Anolis sagrei: one gene and its partner. The protein of the gene in region 1 purifies or fractionates together with the protein of each later gene. This does not show direct contact. Links are inferred from orthologs where the notes say so. Each region holds a gene or a part of one and is shown in the gene's direction. Other genes may lie near its edges. The genes, in order: PTPDC1 and PPP2R2D.

What was found.
Region 2: the proteins of PTPDC1 (region 1) and PPP2R2D purify together in Homo sapiens (affinity purification with mass spectrometry; 5 studies listed by BioGRID and IntAct, counting the BioPlex papers as one, with this or other methods). This does not show direct contact. The link is inferred for Anolis sagrei from reciprocal best matches to the Homo sapiens genes PTPDC1 and PPP2R2D.

What each region holds. Positions count from the first base shown.
Region 1 is NC_090022.1:62,538,164-62,547,665, forward strand, and holds the start of PTPDC1 (protein tyrosine phosphatase domain-containing protein 1), read left to right. Parts: upstream 1-5,654; 5' UTR 5,655-6,135; coding exon 6,136-6,349; intron 6,350-6,605; coding exon 6,606-6,777; intron 6,778-7,749; coding exon 7,750-7,830; intron 7,831-8,019; coding exon 8,020-8,138; intron 8,139-8,861; coding exon 8,862-8,999; intron 9,000-9,502. UniProt on the Homo sapiens protein: May play roles in cilia formation and/or maintenance.
Region 2 is NC_090023.1:191,354,164-191,362,971, reverse strand, and holds the start of PPP2R2D (serine/threonine-protein phosphatase 2A 55 kDa regulatory subunit B delta isoform), read left to right. Parts: upstream 1-5,131; 5' UTR 5,132-5,501; coding exon 5,502-5,508; intron 5,509-5,646; coding exon 5,647-5,751; intron 5,752-8,808. UniProt on the Homo sapiens protein: Substrate-recognition subunit of protein phosphatase 2A (PP2A) that plays a key role in cell cycle by controlling mitosis entry and exit. Involved in chromosome clustering during late mitosis by mediating dephosphorylation of MKI67.

The sequences.
Region 1 (9,502 bases):
CATTCTATTAGAGTGTTGTGGCTGCTTCCAGTTACTGGGAGAGCCAACCACTACACTTGGTTGTGATGGGACATGGAAGAAAGCAGCTGGAACACCAAGGGTCTTGACAGGGGTTTTGCTGGAGGACCTAGAAATGCCCAGAGAACCCATATTTTGTTGAATGCGGATAAATTGTGATAGGCGTTTTGGGTTTCTTGGGGTCTTTTGAGTGTGATTCTTTTGGGGGTGTCTGTTTCTGTGGTGAAGGGTTTATTATGCTCTGCTGCATTCTATTACCAATTGCTTTTACTTTTTTTATATGTATAGCTGTCTGAACTATTTACATTTACTTTTTAAATTAACTGCAACAGGCTTATTTTTGAAGTAGGGCTTATATTTTGAACATCCTCAAAAATCCTGAAAAATCATTCTAGGGATTATTTTCAGGGTAAGGCTTATTTTCAGGAAAACGGTACCAAAAATGTTAATCTTTGGCTTCCTCTGGTTTGGATTAACTTGTAGACATAAGTCAATATGTTCTATCCTATTGTTTTTCTTCTGCTTACCTTTCAAGACCCTACAGCCAACATACAACAGATGTAGAAAACATAATCAGTGTTAAATGTTCTGTTTCAACAGGTACTGCAATGGCTGCAGGAGTCCTACTGCAAAATGAATTACCTTATTGTTCTCTGGTAACAAGCAGTGCATATCTTGCAGACATGAATTCAGGTAATCATTTTTTAATACTACATATCTCATGGATGAAAATTTGAAAGAATTCCTGTACAGAACTGAAAAACTAAGAGATGACACCTAAGCTGTTACAAGATTTTGAAGATTTGAAGAAGCTGTATAGTTTTCAAGGCAAGAGGGACCACTTTAATTTTAAATAGAGTAGTGAGAATGTTTTTGTTTTTATTCTTGTGTTACTGCAGCGGAATATAATAAGCTATTTCAGTACAACCCCAGTTTTCATGGAACCAGTATTTGCTCTTTAATTTATCCACATTCAACAAAATATAGTGTCCCTAGGCATTTCTAGGTCCTCCAGCATGACTCTGTGCTATTCCTGGGCCAGAAGTACTTCATTTGAATAGTATTTGTGATTATCTGTGGTTTTGGAACATATCCATGTGGTTATGAGAGTTTTACTTTACTCCCATTTTACAGATGAGAACTGGAAGCAAATAGGGTATAACTTTCAAGTCATAGCTATGGCAGAGCCGAAACATGATTTTGAGTCTCCTTTATCTTAAGTTTCCCTTATCTGTTCTAAGATACCAATGGGTACAAGAAATATGCCCCCCTTTCTTTCTTGTACCCACTGGTATCTTAGATCAGAGTTTTTCAAACTGTACTCTTCCAGATGTTCTGGACACCAGATGTTCTGGACACCAATTCCTAACCGCTGGTAAACTGACTGGGATTTCTGGAAGCTGAAGTCCAAAACACCCAGAGAAGCACTGTTTGAGAAATACTGTCTTAGAAAATATAGTGTTCTTTTGATATAAATAAAAGTATGTTCCTGGAAGAATAGCTTATACTTTCCTTCAGCTGAAATGTGAGTGTTTTTGAAAGCAGTCCTATACAGCTGTACCAGGAAGGAAGTTTTGTTGACCTTGATGCTTATTAATTTTGAATAAACAGCATAGAATTGCACTGTGAACTTGTCTCCCTTAGTCAACATGTTGTGCCAGTTACCTATCCATTCTTCATGTCTAGTCATAAGCGCAGCACATATCTTACATACAATTTATTTTTTATCTGTGATCCTATGTTACCTTGACAGTTTCAGGATCCTATTTATTTTTATGCACTGTTCTTGAGGATTGAAAACATGTATGGAATCATATGTAGGAAAGCTGTGTCTTACTGCTGTAGCACCAAACCTTTATCTCAGCTGGGCAGCTGCATAAATAGCCTAGCAGTAGACCAGTCCGACTTCATTCACCATCTTACTGTGGACGTGTAGTTGTAACAGAATTTAGATCTAGTATGGCTTCCATCTTCAGAAAAAGTTCTTCTGTGACTTTCTAGAGGCACTTTTACAAAGGGGGTTGGGTAGGAAATGGGCAGCTGTAGCAGAATCATTAATGAAATGATAACATTGTGCAAGTGGAAAACAAAATTAACAGAATGACAGATTATCACTATCATAACTTCTTTTAAGTCATAGTTTGAACAAAATGCTTTAACGGTAGACCCTGCCCAAAAGTTGCACAAATTGGTAATTCTTGGTCTTTTTGTCTCTCCAGAACAAGGGTTCTCAAACTATTTCAGCTGTGGAGCCTTTTTTGAAACAAAAGTTTATTGTGGAGACCTAAGAAACATTTATATATTATCTACTATATTATCTAATATATTATGCATAATATATATATCAGGCATGGGCAAACCTTTGGACACAGGGGGCTGTCATGCGTTTTAAAATTTGACAGATGGGCAGGGCCAGTGGCAGATGGATGGAGAGTGTTTGTGTGAAGTAATTGGGGGGCAGAGGGACACAGATTCCTATGCACATTGCACATATCTCGTTTGTTGTGCAAAAAGAAAGAAAGAAAAATACAATATTTAAAAGGAAGAACAATTTTCACCAACATGGAAGACCCCAGGGGGCATCCAGTCCAACTCCCTTTTGCCATGCAGGAAAAGCACAATCAAAGCACCCCCTGAGAGGTGGGAGGAAAATAGGGGTTTGGAAGCAAAGAAGAGGTAGAAGGATGTTGAGGAAAAGAGCTTGTGCAGCAAGGGAGGCAGAGGAGAAAGAGTCTGTGCCCTGGAGGACGTTGCTGCTATTTCCAGCAGCTCAAAACTTTAATTTCTCTGCATTTCTCAGGAGGAGGAAATCACTCCTGGAGCCCCAAGGACTCCACAGAGCACAGTTTGAGAACCCCTGCTCCAGACAGTAAACATTGCTTCCTAAATATCTGATGTGGCTGACTAACATTTCTTTTCCACTGTGCCAGGGGCTGGTACCAGATTTATCCCTGTGCCAGTTTCATTAAATGTACAGTGTACAACATAGGTGTTAAAATAACATCCCGATTTCAGTGAACTCCATATGTTACATACATTGTAGACAAACTGATTATGTTATATCTTGTCAAAAGATAACCCAAACAGAATCACAAAGAGGAATTGGTATATTTTGGAAATGAGAATGAACTGGCTCTTCCGGAAGTGCTGCGGCTGTTGGGTTCCTGTACTCCAGAGCCACTGGTCTTTCTCTTGGCTTCTTCTACAGCTGAAGCTTCTTCGTTGCCACTCAGAATCCAACAGCCACCATGTCAAGCAAAAGGGCAAAGACCAAGACCACAAAGAAGCACCCTCAGCGGGCTACTTCCAATGTATTTGCTATGTTTGATCAGTCCCAAATTCAAGAATTCAAAGAAGCATTTAACATGATTGATTAAAACAGAGATGGCTTCATTGACAAAGAAGACCTGCATGATATGCTTGCTTCACTTGGGAAGAATCCAACTGATGAATATCTAGATGCCATGATGAATGAAGCTCCCGGACCCATAAATTTTACTATGTTTCTCACAATGTTTGGAGAGAAATTAAATGGCACTGATCAGGAAGTTGTAATCAGGAATGCCTTTGCTTGCTTTGATGAAGAAGCAACAGGCTTCATTCAAGAAGATTATCTGAGAGAATTGTTGATGACAATGGGAGACAGATTTACAGATGAAGAAGTAGATGAGCTGTTCAGAGAGGCACCAATTGATAAAAAGGGCAATTTCAGCTACATTGAGTTCACACGCATCCTTAAACATGGAGCAAAAGACAAAGATGACTAAAATAGAACTCTTCCCTCTGCAGTTCTCTTTAGATCTCACTTGCGGTTATTTGAGGGTTTTTTCCTGGTAGAACCTGTTGCTTGCATTTAGCTTTACAGCTTTTGCCTTTCTTGATGTATTTATCTATACCAGGCCATTCTGGCCCACTTTGCACCTGTGTAATCAGGCTGGCAATAGGGATTGTGATTGTGATAAAAAGAATTGGAGGGCAGGACCAATGACTGAGGGCCCAGGAAAAAAAGTCTCAAATTTTCTGGTTTAGCTGGATTTTTACATTTTGTAATAATGCCATTTTGAAATAAGATTGCTATATCAATAAAATACCTCAAATGCTGAGAATGAAATGGCATCTCACATGGGGGAAAATATATCAAAATCCATAATTTTGTCCCCAAATCTTTCCCTTGACTTATACATGAGGCTGATGTATATGTGGATATTAAAATACATTTTATCCCTGTGCTAGTTAATTGCTATTAACATATGTTAATTAATAGCAAACAAGGCTGAAAAAAGCCAACCTTGTTTGACATTCAGCAAAACTACAAATCCCTTTGTTTTAAACATTCTAAAAGTTTGAATGTACCCATAATAAAAAAAAACTTTGCTGCTTGATATACAAAATCCAAAAGTCAAGCATTTTGGCCATCAAACTGTAAATAATAAACTTGATAATTTATTCTCTGTAATAATACATCTAAATCTGACAGGCTTTTGTTTCATCCCTGTCTAAAAGCTGTACCAGCCTTTCCTGAATCAAGAGTGGGGTTGAAAGTAATTATGCCTACCTATCATGAAAGTTAAAAAAGAAGCTTTTTAAAATTTTGTTATACAGATCTCTATTTTGGGTGACTAAATTGACAGAGCATTGATTACTGTACTTTGCTGTTTCCCCAGTGCCTCCTCCACAGGTACATTTGTGAATGAATGTTACAAAGACATGATACATGTTCAGTTTTTCTGTGTTCTAAAATAATCTTTCTCTGTACTGATTAACCCAAACTTCCCACTCTAGCTTTTGTTAGTTCTTATTATCTAAAAATTTTAAAACATGCCAGGAGAATCAAGTATGAATTGTGACATCCATATAAATATCTGATCTTTCAGAAGCAAAACTTAACTTATTTTTGTCCTTTAGCAAGGATTAGGAAGAGGAAAGACATGTCAGGTTATAACATCAGCAAGACTGCCCAATTCATTTATGTCTTCTTCCACATTCGGGCCTGCAAATCATGGAAAATGTTGAAGCTTACACCAAAGAGGAGGTTCAGAATGTAACTGACTATTAGTTTGGCTAATAAAGTTTAGTAAATCATTTGTTTCTCCATATGCTGTAATTTAGCATTTATGATAGGCTAGACTATTTGGCTTGTTTTGCTGTAAAATCATATCTATGAATTTCAGCCTTTTTTGTTTGTTTTGGAAAGTCCTCGAGTGACTTCTAGTGGTTTCCAACAAAAATCTGTCCTCAAAGAACTTCTATTCGGTGTTTTATCTGATAGCCCTATTTATCAGTGAAGTTTTCTCACTTTTGGGTTTTTCTTTTCTTTTTTGGTTTGTTTGCTCTGACTACCTATGTAGAGGTTACTGCTGAAGCTGAAGTCAGCAGATATGTAAATCCATGTTTGGATTACTGAACTATTGTTTTGCTAATAAGAGCTCCCTTTGTTTTTCTGTTCAAGTGAGGAGGACTAATTTCCCTATTCGTGCATTTTTCTGTTTCACTTTTGAAATTGTTTCTATACATTTTCTTAACATGTTTCATTGTGCCTTTTCTTGCTACTTATATAATGCAAATGAACTGGATACTTTACAATCTTTTTTAAAAAAAACTTTTTATTTCAGTATGATACATAAATGTACTGTGTTAGAAAATGATCATGTGGCATTTTCCAGAGAAAGGCTATTTTCTCCTGTAAAATACTCCACATAGTTCAGATTTTATTCATGACACTTCAGTTGAGATTTCTTGAACACTATTAGTTTCAAAGTATGTGCTATAGAGAAGCTGCCTCTTATCCAAGAAGAGCATTTATTCAAGACTCTTTAACTTTTCCCTTTTCATATGAAACTATTTGGGAGTTCTTGACCCATTGGGAATAATCTGCTTTGAGCGATTGTAATCCAGCAGGAAACATTGTGTGTCCCACACAGAATCAATTGATATAGGATTTTTCAGTGAGTTCATTGTTGGTTTCCATGGAGACTAGCCAGCCTATCGGGAGCAGCCATTAGATCATACAGAAAGATGCATGTCTCTTTGTAAGTTCAGTACTGAGCAAGTCAGATTCCTCGCTCGGCTTGACTTCCTCCAGCATATCCAAGCTGCTGCAAGTAGTGGCTACCGATCATGCAAGGCTCACCCAGGAGACGCCTGACAGTGAATATTTTCAGCAACTTTTTTCAGGGTCGGAGACATTCTTCCTCCGATCCTCTTCTCCGCGTACTTCATAGGCGACGGAGTTCAGTGGTAGAGGTCCTCTCAACTTCTACACACAGAGTTATGGTGGCAATTTCCTCCGTAAACCCAGAGGAATTAAATGCTGCTTTCTATGAGAGAAAAAGTAAAGTATTGGCAATTTCCTTTGTATGAATTATGCTTGGACTTTTATTGCTCTGTGTCAATGTATCTGTGGTCTTTTTGCTATAACTAAGCAGAGATGAATGTTTGAGTCACTTTATATCATTAAAAAGGTTAATTTATTTTTTTTCAAGCATTTTTGGGTAATACTTTGCAACTGTCATTTTGTAAAGAAAAAGAAAAAATGTAGGAGTTATATCTTCTTGAAAGATTTTGTTTGGTCTTGAATTTTGTTGCAGGAAGGTCTAGGCGTCCTACGGCAAAATACACAAAAGTTGGAGAGCGTCTTCGCCATGTCATCCCTGGTCATATGCAATGCTCTATGGCATGTGGTGGCCGTGCTTGCAAATATGAAAACCCAACTCGATGGAGTGACCAAGAACAGGCTGTTAAAGGGCTCTATTCTTCCTGGTAGTGTGCAGTATTTGCTTCTGCTAGACTTTTAAAAAAATCATGTGAATATCTAAATCTCTGCTCTTTTACACCTCAGTTTTAAGTCCTGTCGAACTGACTTCTCAGTAAATAAGTTTCAGATTAGATTGTGTGTATGTGTATGTACTTTCAAATTGCCTGTCCACTCATGGTGACCCCATGAATTTTATAGGGGTTTTTAAGGCAAGGAATACTCAGAGGTTGTTTTGTCAGTTCTTTCTCTGAAATATAGACTACAACACCTAGTATTCCTTGACAGTCTCCCATCCAAACACTAATCAGGATTGACCCCACTTAGCTTCCAAGATCAAGCAAGAGCCTACTTTCAGAAAAAAATTATATACAGATTTGGGTTAGTCATCTTTCATATACGTAAACCAGCTAAATGAAGCGTGACTAACAAGTAACCATGCATGAACCATATAAATATGGTTAGGAAAGCTCTAGGTCTTGGGTTCATGCTTAAATTGTGAAAAATGGTGTGTGATGTCTAGACTATTATTTATTTCAATAGGATGTCAATCACAGTAAACCTGTCATATCGATTTCAAAAGGAATCTTCAAAAAACAGACTGGATCCAGCTCCTGGCTACAGTTCAGTGCATGGCTTTTCTTATAGAAACATTCAACCAGGAGCTTAAATTGTATAAACCATTTTATAAAGCTGTTAAAAGAACACTTTAAAAGAATGTGTAATTATTTGCTATGATGGATATAGAAATGTATGCATATCCTGTGTTACGCACATTCTAAATATCACAAGCTTTTGGCACCCTAATGGCATTTTGTTATGTAAAGTGTTCCAGCTACATAGGGATAAAAGGCGTTTAATGGCTTGAAAGCACATAGTTAGCTAAATTGTCATGGCTTATTAGCTAGAAAATTACCTACGAATACCGAATCTGAAATATTTTAACCCCTAACTTTTCACTTCTTTCCCCACATTCTCAGGGTTACAGATAATATTTTAGCCATGTCTCGACCCTCAACAGAACTTATTGAAAAGTATAATATTATTGAACAGTTCCAAAGGTAAAATGACTATATTGGAATAAATTGCTATATTTTTCTGTTTGTAAAGCAAGTGTATTGTTCCTTTCCTGGCTTTGTTTGGATTGTTTGTGACATTTTATTTGAAGTTAAGAAGGAACATTGGAGGGTTGGGGGAGAGACTGAATGTGTGCCTAGTTCAGTAATGCCTCATCTTGTTCTTTGCCTAAGATGTGGTATAAAAACAGTAATTAACCTCCAACGTCCTGGGGAACATGCTAGCTGCGGGAATCCACTGGAACAAGAGAGCGGTTTCACCTACCTTCCTGAGGCTTTCATGGAGGCGGGAAGTAAGTTTGTTCCTGCTGTTGTTCCTTATAATTATAAAGCATGGTGCTGCAGGCTGTTACTGCCACCTACTTCCTAGGTTAAAAGCAGCGAGTTGATGAATATTTGCTTAAAAAGACAACTTGTAGAGAATGGGAAGTAAAGCATGCATTGATCCAGTGTGGAAGCATGATAGTAAATTAGTAAACTGCCTGCAGTAGGTGGGTATCAGTGCTTAGTAGTGATGCTGAATCTGTGATAGTATTGTATACTGACAAGATCACAATTGCATGCAGATTCCATTGTCTTTTGCTTCTTCAGGAAGGCTTCCTTCCCTGTCCCACAGAAAATGCCACATTTTTCAAATTGAGAAGACTTTCAATTGTTTGAGAAAGATGTCATTGAATTAGGGATGTTGTTATTTTTAGGCAAAATGTTATATTGTTCCTATTTAAGTGTATTCTGTTTGGAGAGGTTGCATACACATGTGTGCTCAACTCATTTTGTTTTATCATAGGTCTTCTAAATCAAGATTTCTGGGAAATACATTGTCTGATTTACAAGTGGAATTTAGAGTTCAAAGAGAAATTCCAAAATGCAGGAAACAAAAATGTTGTTCTTAAATCTGCTCAGATCTCTTTTTGAATACAAATCTTAACACTATTTGTGTTATAATACAATACATTACACTGTTTAGGGTCTTCTGATGGTGATAACACTATTGTTCTACAATATTTTCTTTCTAGTTTATTTTTATAACTTTGGATGGAAGGATTATGGCGTGGCCTCTCTCACAACTATCCTCGATATGGTAAAAGTGATGACTTTTGCCTTACAGGAAGGGAGAGTAGCTGTTCATTGTCATGCAGGACTTGGCAGAACAGGTAAAGATACTAAACTACAACATCAATGGAAACCTGTTTTTCTGAAATTCAAAGTAGTGTACACAATGTATGAGCCTTACTAGATTGTTCAACACTCTGTACATATGTATAATGTGTATTCTGACAGAAAGCAAGCACAAAGTACACATTTTTAACTGCTGCTTGCATGCCTACATTTATATTCCAATGTTCTTTATGGAATATGTGCCACAAAACACTCAAGATGTTCTTTGATTTCAGTTAGCAGGTTGAGAATTTGGCATGAGAGCTATCGTAAAGTGAAGAGGGTTTGGTGGGACAGAAAACATTACTAGAGATACCTGTTGAATTACTTGTGATGATGTTTTCATATCAAATTTTGTTTTCATTTTCAATTCTGCCCTGTTCTCATGCTTACCTTTAAACAAACAACAACAAAAGGTATAGAGTTATTTACCAAAGTATCATTTAAGGCATGGAAGCATTCATCTAGCATTTTTAAAAAGTGATAAACATTAACATGG
Region 2 (8,808 bases), on another chromosome or scaffold:
AGTTCAAAGCAGATATTGTGGGATTTTCTGCCTTGATATTCTGGGTAATATGGCTGTGTGGAAGGGTCCTGGGATGAGAGACGAAGTTGGGTTCTGTAGGATATATTCCAGAGGAAGGAATGGGCAAATCTATATCTGATATTTTTTAAGAATATCATATGCAATCAAGAGGGCCATTATGTTGGCAGGCGACTTGAAGGGACATACGTACATGTGACAAAATGTGTCATTTTATCAGTCCTTGATCTTCTATGATTCAGCAACAGTTGATGACTGTTTCCTACCCTTTCCACATCATGCATAACTTTATACACCTCTATTATGTATCTGCTTATGCATAGCTAAACTGCCCTGGATGTAATCATTTATTGTATGCAATATACTTTTGTCCTTTGCTCTTTTGCTGCCGTTATCTGCTTTACTGCTAGCCCCGGGCATGTAGCGGGGGGGGGGGGGGGGTTGAGGGGCTTCAGCCCCCTCCGAAATTCTCAGGGTGGTCCGCGAGAAGGCCTTACTGGTGCATTATTTAAACTGTTATGTTTATTCATATTATGATCTGATCACCATGCTCAATATATCCCATATGCATGGGGCTATTGGGATAACAATACAAAAGGTTTGCTAGGGTAGATCCTCAGCCCCCTGCCTTGAATCCAACTCACCCCCCCCCCCCCCGAATCAAACTCAGCACCCCCCAAATCAAAATCCTGGCTACGGGCCTGGCTAGCCCACTAAAGGATTTTTCTTGAACCTGCTTGAACTGCACCTCACAATGGGATATCCTGTCTGAATTCAATCCCATAATCAATGTTAATTAAATACTACTACAATGTTACTCTGCTAGTTGTGTCTTTAAGGCCCCTTCTACACTGCCACGCAATCCAATTATCAAAGCAGATAATCCAAATTATCTGCTTTGAACTGGATTATAAGAGTCTATACCACCAGATACTCAAAGCAGATAATCAGAATTTTGCATGGTGGTGTAGAAGGGGCCTCAGTCTCAGAGGAAGGCAAAAGTAAACACCATATTTGATTGTGATTCTGCATAGCAGGGTGTTGAACGTGATGGCCCTTATGGTCTCTTCCAACTCTATGATTCATCTGGACAAACCTTGCCAAGAAAATGAAATGATATTGTGCTGTCGCACGCTGGGCCTGTGCATATGACTGTAGACGGGACATAAATTCTGTGTGCCCAATGGGACGCCGGGGCTGCCTCAGATTAAAGGCCCTTGGACCTCCCCAAAACGAAGTTCTGTAGAGGCTTAAAGTAAATCCAACAAAGTTCAAAATCCAACAAACAAACAGGTACTTTAAAGCTTTCTTAACAGTCTATTGGCTCTTGCAGTCTTGTTCACTGGGAACAGGCACTATCTTCATAACTGTATACTAACTAATGGGGAAATCCTTAACTTCTAATCTGGGCAGTCTGTACTTGCCTCTGTTGGCGTGGAGCCCCTGCACCCGGTACCAACTGTGTCTGGCTTCCACGAGCGACCCTTGCCAAGCAGAGCTTTGTAGACTTCCAGGGGAAAAGAAGGAGTTCAGGTTGCTGTGATGGCTGGCCGAAGTCCCTCAGCAAAGGAGCTGTAAGGCTGTAAAATCCTCAGCCAAGCTGTGGGGCCTTTTCTCCCGGGCCAAGCTGTAGGCTGTATATCTCCCCGGCCAAGCCGTAGAAGACAAAGCTTTCTACATGAGCTCTTCGTTTTATGTCCTGTGCGAAAGGCTTCTCTGTGAGAACTGAACTCAAAATGGCCCCTATTCCCACTAAAACTCAAAAAGGGGCGGGACCAGGGAGCCTAACAATAATTGACAGGTGGCTTGCCCTATGATTGCAGCCAAAAGAAGCCACCTATCTGCAGAGTCCCTGAAACTTAGGACTGCAACAAACATTCAATGCTAAGCAAACAAAATTGGAGCTACTGGTACAGTTGTACCTGCACAGATATGTTCACCTTTTGGTAGTCTCTGTAAGCTAGAAATGAGTTGAAGGCACACAACACATATAACTCCACTGGCCACTGCAAAACTGTCCTTCTGCCGGAGACCACTTTAAAATTGGGATCTTACAGGCCATGCCAAGGTTTCATGAAGACAGCAGCAACATGTGTGTAATGATCCAAAGAACAAGTTGTTCTGGCTGAAGGACTGGGGAATGATTCAAATATTTATGCTGTGGGCAGGAGGAAGATGACAATGCTGAAACTTATATAATCTTGGAAGCATTCTTTGCAACAATTACAAGCAGAAGTGGGTTTGCTTACATTTTACCTTCTTCACCAACACTTAAAATTTGTGTTATATAAACTCTTATATTTTCTTGGTAGTATCAGAATTGATATCAAAAAGGCATATCCTATTCAGCAGCTACCCTATAACATAAAGATAAGGATGCTTAGGAGCAATTTAGCATGGCATGTTCCATTCACCGGTGTTTCGGCAAGCAGGGACCCACTTCTATTTTTATACGGTATAGTTCTATCTATTAATGCATACGGGACCATTTTCTCCTATTAAAAATACATTGCACTTTAATCTCTCTTTCTCCCATGCAAGCATACAGAGTATTTCGTTATCTTCATACATTTGTGTGGAAGGAACCCGAGTCTACTGTAAATGGATGCCAGAACAAAGTCATACCCTTCTGACAAGACAAGTCAGGGACTCCTTCCTCACAGTTGTATAAAATCCACATTGAACTGGATTATATGGCAGTATGGACTCAGAAAATCCAGTTCAAAGCAGATATTGTGGATTATCTGCTTTGATATTCTGCGTTATATGGCTGTGTGGAAGGGCCAAGAGAGAGGCCCCTTCCACACAGCTGAATAAAATCCAACATTTATTTATTTATTCATTTAAACTATTTACACCCTGCCTCAAGGTGGCTTACATAGAAGCAATTATGCAATGCCTTAAAACATATACAATGCCAAAAATTAAAATTAAATTAAAACATATTAAACATTTAAAAACATTACATTCCATATTAAAATTACGCCACCTATAGTCGTAGTCCAAGCCATTCCATAGTCATTCCATATATTTCAAATCTGTTCATTGCACTGCACTATTCTCTGAAAGCCTGATCCAACAGCCACGTTTTTACCTTTGTTCTGAAGGCTAGGAGGGAGGGGGCTGATCCAATGTCACTGGGGAGGGAGTTCCATAGCTGAAGGGCCACCACTGAAAAGGCCTTGTCTCACATCCTCACCAGTTGCGCTTAAAGAGGTGAGACTGAGAGCAGGGCCTTTCCAGATGATCTTAATCTCAGAGATGGTTCATATGGGAAGATACATTTGGACAGGTTGTTGAGAAGTGATTAGATGTCCCTGTTCGTTTCCTCTCTGTTGTTTTGCTATTGTAATTTTAGAGGTTTTTTAATACTGGTAGCCAGATTTTGTCTATTTTCATGGTTTCCTCCTTTCTGTTGAAATCATCCACATGACTGTGGATTTCAGTGGCTTCTCTGTGTAGTCTGACATGGTGGTTGTTGGAGTGGTCCAGCATTTCTGTGTTCTCAAATAAAATGCTGTGTCCAGGTTGGTTCATCAGGTGCTCTGCTATGGCTGACTTCTCTGGTTGAAGTAGTCTGCAGTGCCTTTCATGTTCCTTGATTCGTGTTTGGGCAAGGCTGCGTTTGGTGGTCCCTATGTAGACTTGTCCACAGCTGCATGGTATACGGTAGACTCCTGCAGAGGCGAGAGGATCCCTCTTGTCCTTTGCTGAATGTAGCATTTGTTGGATTTCCTTGGTGGGTCTGTAGATAGTTTGTATGTTATGTTTCCCCATCAGCTTCCCAATGCGGTCAGTGGTTCCCTTGATGTATGGCAAGAACGCTTTTCCTATGGGTGGGTCTTTGTCTTGACTCTCATGGCTTGTTCTCGGTCTTGCAGCTCTTCTGATGTCTGAGGTGGAGTATCCATTGGCCTGGAGAGCCCAGTTGAGGTGGTTCAATTCACCTTGGAGGAGGTGGGCTTCGCAGATTTTTTTGCACAGTCTGCAAAGACTTTAATGATGCTTCTTTTTTGACTTGGGTGATGGTTGGAGTTTTTGTGTAGATATCTATCTCTGTGTGTGGGTTTTCTGTAAACGGTGTGACCCAATTGTTGATCTGGTTTACGAATGAGTAGGACATCTAGAAAAGGCAGTCTTCCTTCATTTTCTTTTTCCATGGTGAATTGTATATTTGGTTGGATGCTGTTCAGATGGTCCAGGAACTGTTTAGTTCTTCTTCTCCATGGCTCCAAATGGCAAAACAACAGAGAGGAAACAAACAAGGACATCTAATCACTTCTCAACAAAAGATCGCCCCAGGGACTGCCAGGCCATCAAATGCTAATCAAGGTGGTCAGGGGTTTTTTTGGTCGTGTCAGGAGCGACTTGAGAAACTGCAAGTCGCTTCTGGTGTGAGAGAATTGGCCGTCTGCAAGGACGTTGCCCAGGGGACACCCGGATGATTTTTTATGTTTTTATCATCCTTGTGGGAGGCTTCTCTCATGTCCCCACATGAGGAACTGGAGCTGATAGAGGGAGCTCATCCGCCTCTCCCCGGATTCAAACCTGCGACCTGTCGGTCTTCAGTCCTGCCGGCACAAGGGTTTAACCCACTGCGCCACCGGGGGCTCCTAAGGTAGTCAATTGAAACATTCACACCCAGCTCCAGCAGGCAAGAGTCCTTTGTCCCACCCTGGTCATTCCATAGATAAACCCTTTTTCCTAATTCCAACAGACCTCACTACCTCTGAGGATGCTTGCCATAGATGCAGGCGAAACGTCAGGAGATAATGCCTCCAGAACATAGCCCTATAGCCCGAAAAAACCTACAACAACCCAATAACCCACAATATCTGCTTTGAACTGGGTTATCTGAGTCCACACGGCCATATACTCCACTTCAAAGCAGATAATGTGGGGTTTTATTCAGCTGTGTGGAAGGGGCCATTCTGCAGTCCCGATGAGCAACTTTTCCTTGCCTCTCCTTTGCCTCTGCCCAAATTGGAGGCAGGCGGCGACGCCAACCACGCCAGCCTCATTCATGCCCAGGTTTCTCCACTAGGGGGGGAAGGTCTTTTTGTGCCTCGGGCGGGCGAGAAGCCGCTTTTTCCTTCTTTTTTCGACCGCCTTAGGGGAAGCAGGGAAGGAGAAACTCCGAGGCAGGCCGGCCGGCTCGTGCGCCTCCCTGGCCCAATCCCGGGCTCTCCCTCCCTCCCTCCCTTCCGGGCCTAGTCTCTCCATCCTCCTCGCGCCCTCTTTTTCTTCCCCCCGCCCGTCGGAGGCTGGCGGAGGGATGACGTCACCGGATCAGGCTGACCGGCAATGGGCGCCATTTTGAAACCCCCAAACCTCCGGCGGCGGCGGCGGCGCTGGCCGCCACAGCAGAAGCAGCGGCAGAAGCGGAAGCCGAAGCGGCGTCTCTAGCCTCCCGCCCCGGTGGGTGCCTGGGCCTCGCGGGCTTGGCAGAAGGGCCAGTCTCCGGCCGGCACGCGCCGCGCGACATGGCAGGTAAGGCGAGGCCGGAGAGGAGGGCCCTGGGCCGGCGGCAGGGCAGTGGGCTTGGGCCTAGTCGCCGGGGAGGCGCCTTCAGGGCCTGGCGGGGTGGCTGGACCTCAGCGCTCTCTTTCTTTCCTCCCTCGCTTGCAGGAGTGGCCGGCGGAGGAGGAGGAGGAGGCGGCGGCGGCGGCAGCAACGACTTCCAGTGGTGCTTTTCCCAGGTCAAGGGGGCCATCGACGAGGACGTGGCGGAAGGTAAAGGCCTCGCTCCCCCTGCCCTCTCACCCTACAAGGGGAAAGCGTTATGATCACACCGCTTCCCCCGCGCTCGTTCAGGTTTATTTGAAGAATCACAACGCTGAAAGAGATTGCAAGGGCCCTCCAGCCCCCCCCCCCCCCCCCCCGCTGCCATGCTCAAGCACACCACCAAAGCATTCCCGACAGATGGCCACCCACCCTCGTGTTTCAAAGCCTCCATCCCAGTGTTACTGTCAAGAGGTTCTTCCTCACATTTAGGTGGAATATCTTTTTCCTGCAGTTTTAATCTATTGCAGAAAACAGCCATATAGTTTAATAACTGCATGAATACTGCCCAGAAGCTTCAATTAGTACAACGTGCGGCAGCCAGGTTACTAATGGGAGTGGGGTACAGGGAGCATACTACTCTGTTGCGCCAGCTCCACTGGCTGCCAGTCAGCTTCCAAGGACAATTCAAAGTGCTGGTCTTAACCTATAAAGCCCTAAAGGACTCCGGCCCAATTTACCTGTCTGAACGTATCCTCCCTTATGAGCCATCAAGATTACTAAGATCGTCTGGAGGGGCCTCCTCTCGATCCCACCGGCCTCACAGGCGCGGCTGATGGGGACGAGAGACAGGGCCTTCTCGGTGGTGGCCCCTCGACTCTGGAACTCCCTTCCACTGGAGACCAGAACTGCTCCTTCGATCTTAACGTTCAGGAAACAGGTGAAAACCTGGCTTTGGGGATTGGCATTCAACGAATGAGCCATGATCCTGTGATATGGATGGATGACGACGAATAATGACTTTAATGACGACTGACCACTGTAATCATATGATTGTATTTTTGCTATTTTAATTGTTTCAATGTTTTAATGTGTTAGTGTTATTTAGAAATATGATGTTTTAATGACGGTCTGTAATATTGATGTTGGAAATCGGCCCGAGTCCCTCGAATGGAGGTGAGAAGACCGGTATACAAAACTACCAAATAAATAAATAAATGAGGGTCCTTCCACACAGCCCTATATCCCAGGATATCAAGGCAGAAAATCCCACAATATCGGCTTTGAACTCTGTTATCTGAGTTGACACTCAGATAATATGGGAGTTTCTGCTTTGTAATTCTGAGATATAGGGCTGTGTGGAAGGGCCCTGGGTCTACACTGGATTACTGTATATACTCAAGTATAAGCTTAGATTTTCAGCCCCCTTTTTAGGCTGAAAAAGCTCCCCTTGGTTTATACTCGAATCGAGATTATTTATTATTTTACTCTGTTATTAGTATTATTTTATTACTTTTATTATTTTACTCTATATGGAGCCCCCGGTGGCACAGTGGGTTAAACCCCTGTGCTGGCAGGACTGAAGACCATCAGGTTGCAGGTTCAAATCCAGGGAGAGGTGGATGAGCTCCATCTATCAGCTCTAGCTCCTCATGCGGGGACATGAGAGAAGCCTCCCACAAAGATGATAAAAACATCAAATCATCCGGGCGTCCCCTGAGCAGCGTCCTTGCAGACAGACAATTCTCTCACACCAGAAGCGACTTGCAGTTTCTCAAGTCGCTCCTGACACGACAAAAAAAAATTACTCTATTATTATTATTGCATTTATTATTTTTCTCTATGATTGTTTATATTGCATTTATTATTTTTCTCTATTTATTATTATTACATATATTATTTTACTCTCTTAATTATTATGGGAAGGATAGATGAGCACATTTACATGGAAGAAGTTGAGAATCATGGTTTAATCGGAGTTGGACAGTCTTATCTTAAATTACAGTTTTATGTAAATATTCAAAAGCTTTTAACCTACTGAAGTCTCAATTAATGTAATTTTATTGGTATCTATTTTTATTTTGCATTTCCCACCCTCAGCTTATACTCAAGTCAATACATTTTCCCAGTTTTTGTGGTAAAATTAGATGCCTCAGCTTATATTTGGGTCGGCTTATATTCGAGTATATACGGTATATGCCAGTGTGGACTCAGGGCCCTTCCACACACCCTATATCCCAGGATTCCAAGGCAGAAAATCCCACAATATCTGCCTTGAACTATATTATCTGAGTCCATGCTCAGATAATGTAGCATTTTCTGCTTTGAAATTCTGAGATATAGGGCTGTGTGGGTCTACACTGGATTATATGCCAGTGTGGACTCAGGGTCCTTCCACACACCCCGATATCCCAAAATATCTGAGTCCACACTGCCATATATCCCAGTTCAAAGCAGATAATGAGGGATTTTATTCAGCTGTGTGGAAGGGGCCTCAGATAACCCAGTTCAGAGCAGATACTGTGGGATTTTCTGGCTTGATATTCAAGAGGCCATTCCACACAGCCCTATATCCTAGAATATCAAGACAGAAAATTCCACAATATCTCTTTGAACTGGGTTATCTGAGTCCACATTCAGATAATGTGAGGTTTTATGCCTTGATATTCTGGGATATAGAGCTTTGTGGAAATCCCTGGCTTATATGGCTGTGTGGAAGGATCCCTTCTCTTACCGTCAGGAGGTTCTTCCTCACGTTTAGATGGAATATCTTTCCTGCAATTTGAGTCCATTGCAGAAAACTGCCATATAGGGCAATGTAGATTCATATAACATAGTTCAAATCAGATAATGTGGATGATCCGCTTTGATAACCTGGATTATACGGCAGCATAGAAGGGATCAAAGCCTCCATCCCAGGCCCCTTCAACACATCTGAATAAAATCCCATATTGAACTGGAATATATAGTAGTTTGGACTCAGGGTCCTTCCGCACAGCCCTATGTCCCAGAATATCAAAGCAGAACATCGCACAATATCTGCTTTGAACTGGATTATCTGAGTCAACACTGCTATATATTTCAGTTCAAATCAGATAATCTGGGATTTTATTCAACTGTGTGGAAGGGGCCTCTGAGCACTTCCACATGGCCATTTAACCCAGAATATCAAGGCAGAAAATCCCACAATATCTGATTTGAACTGCGGCTCCATTCTCACAGCTGAATAAAATCCCATATTTTCTGCTTTGAACTGGAATATATGGCAGTGTGGACTCAGATAACCCA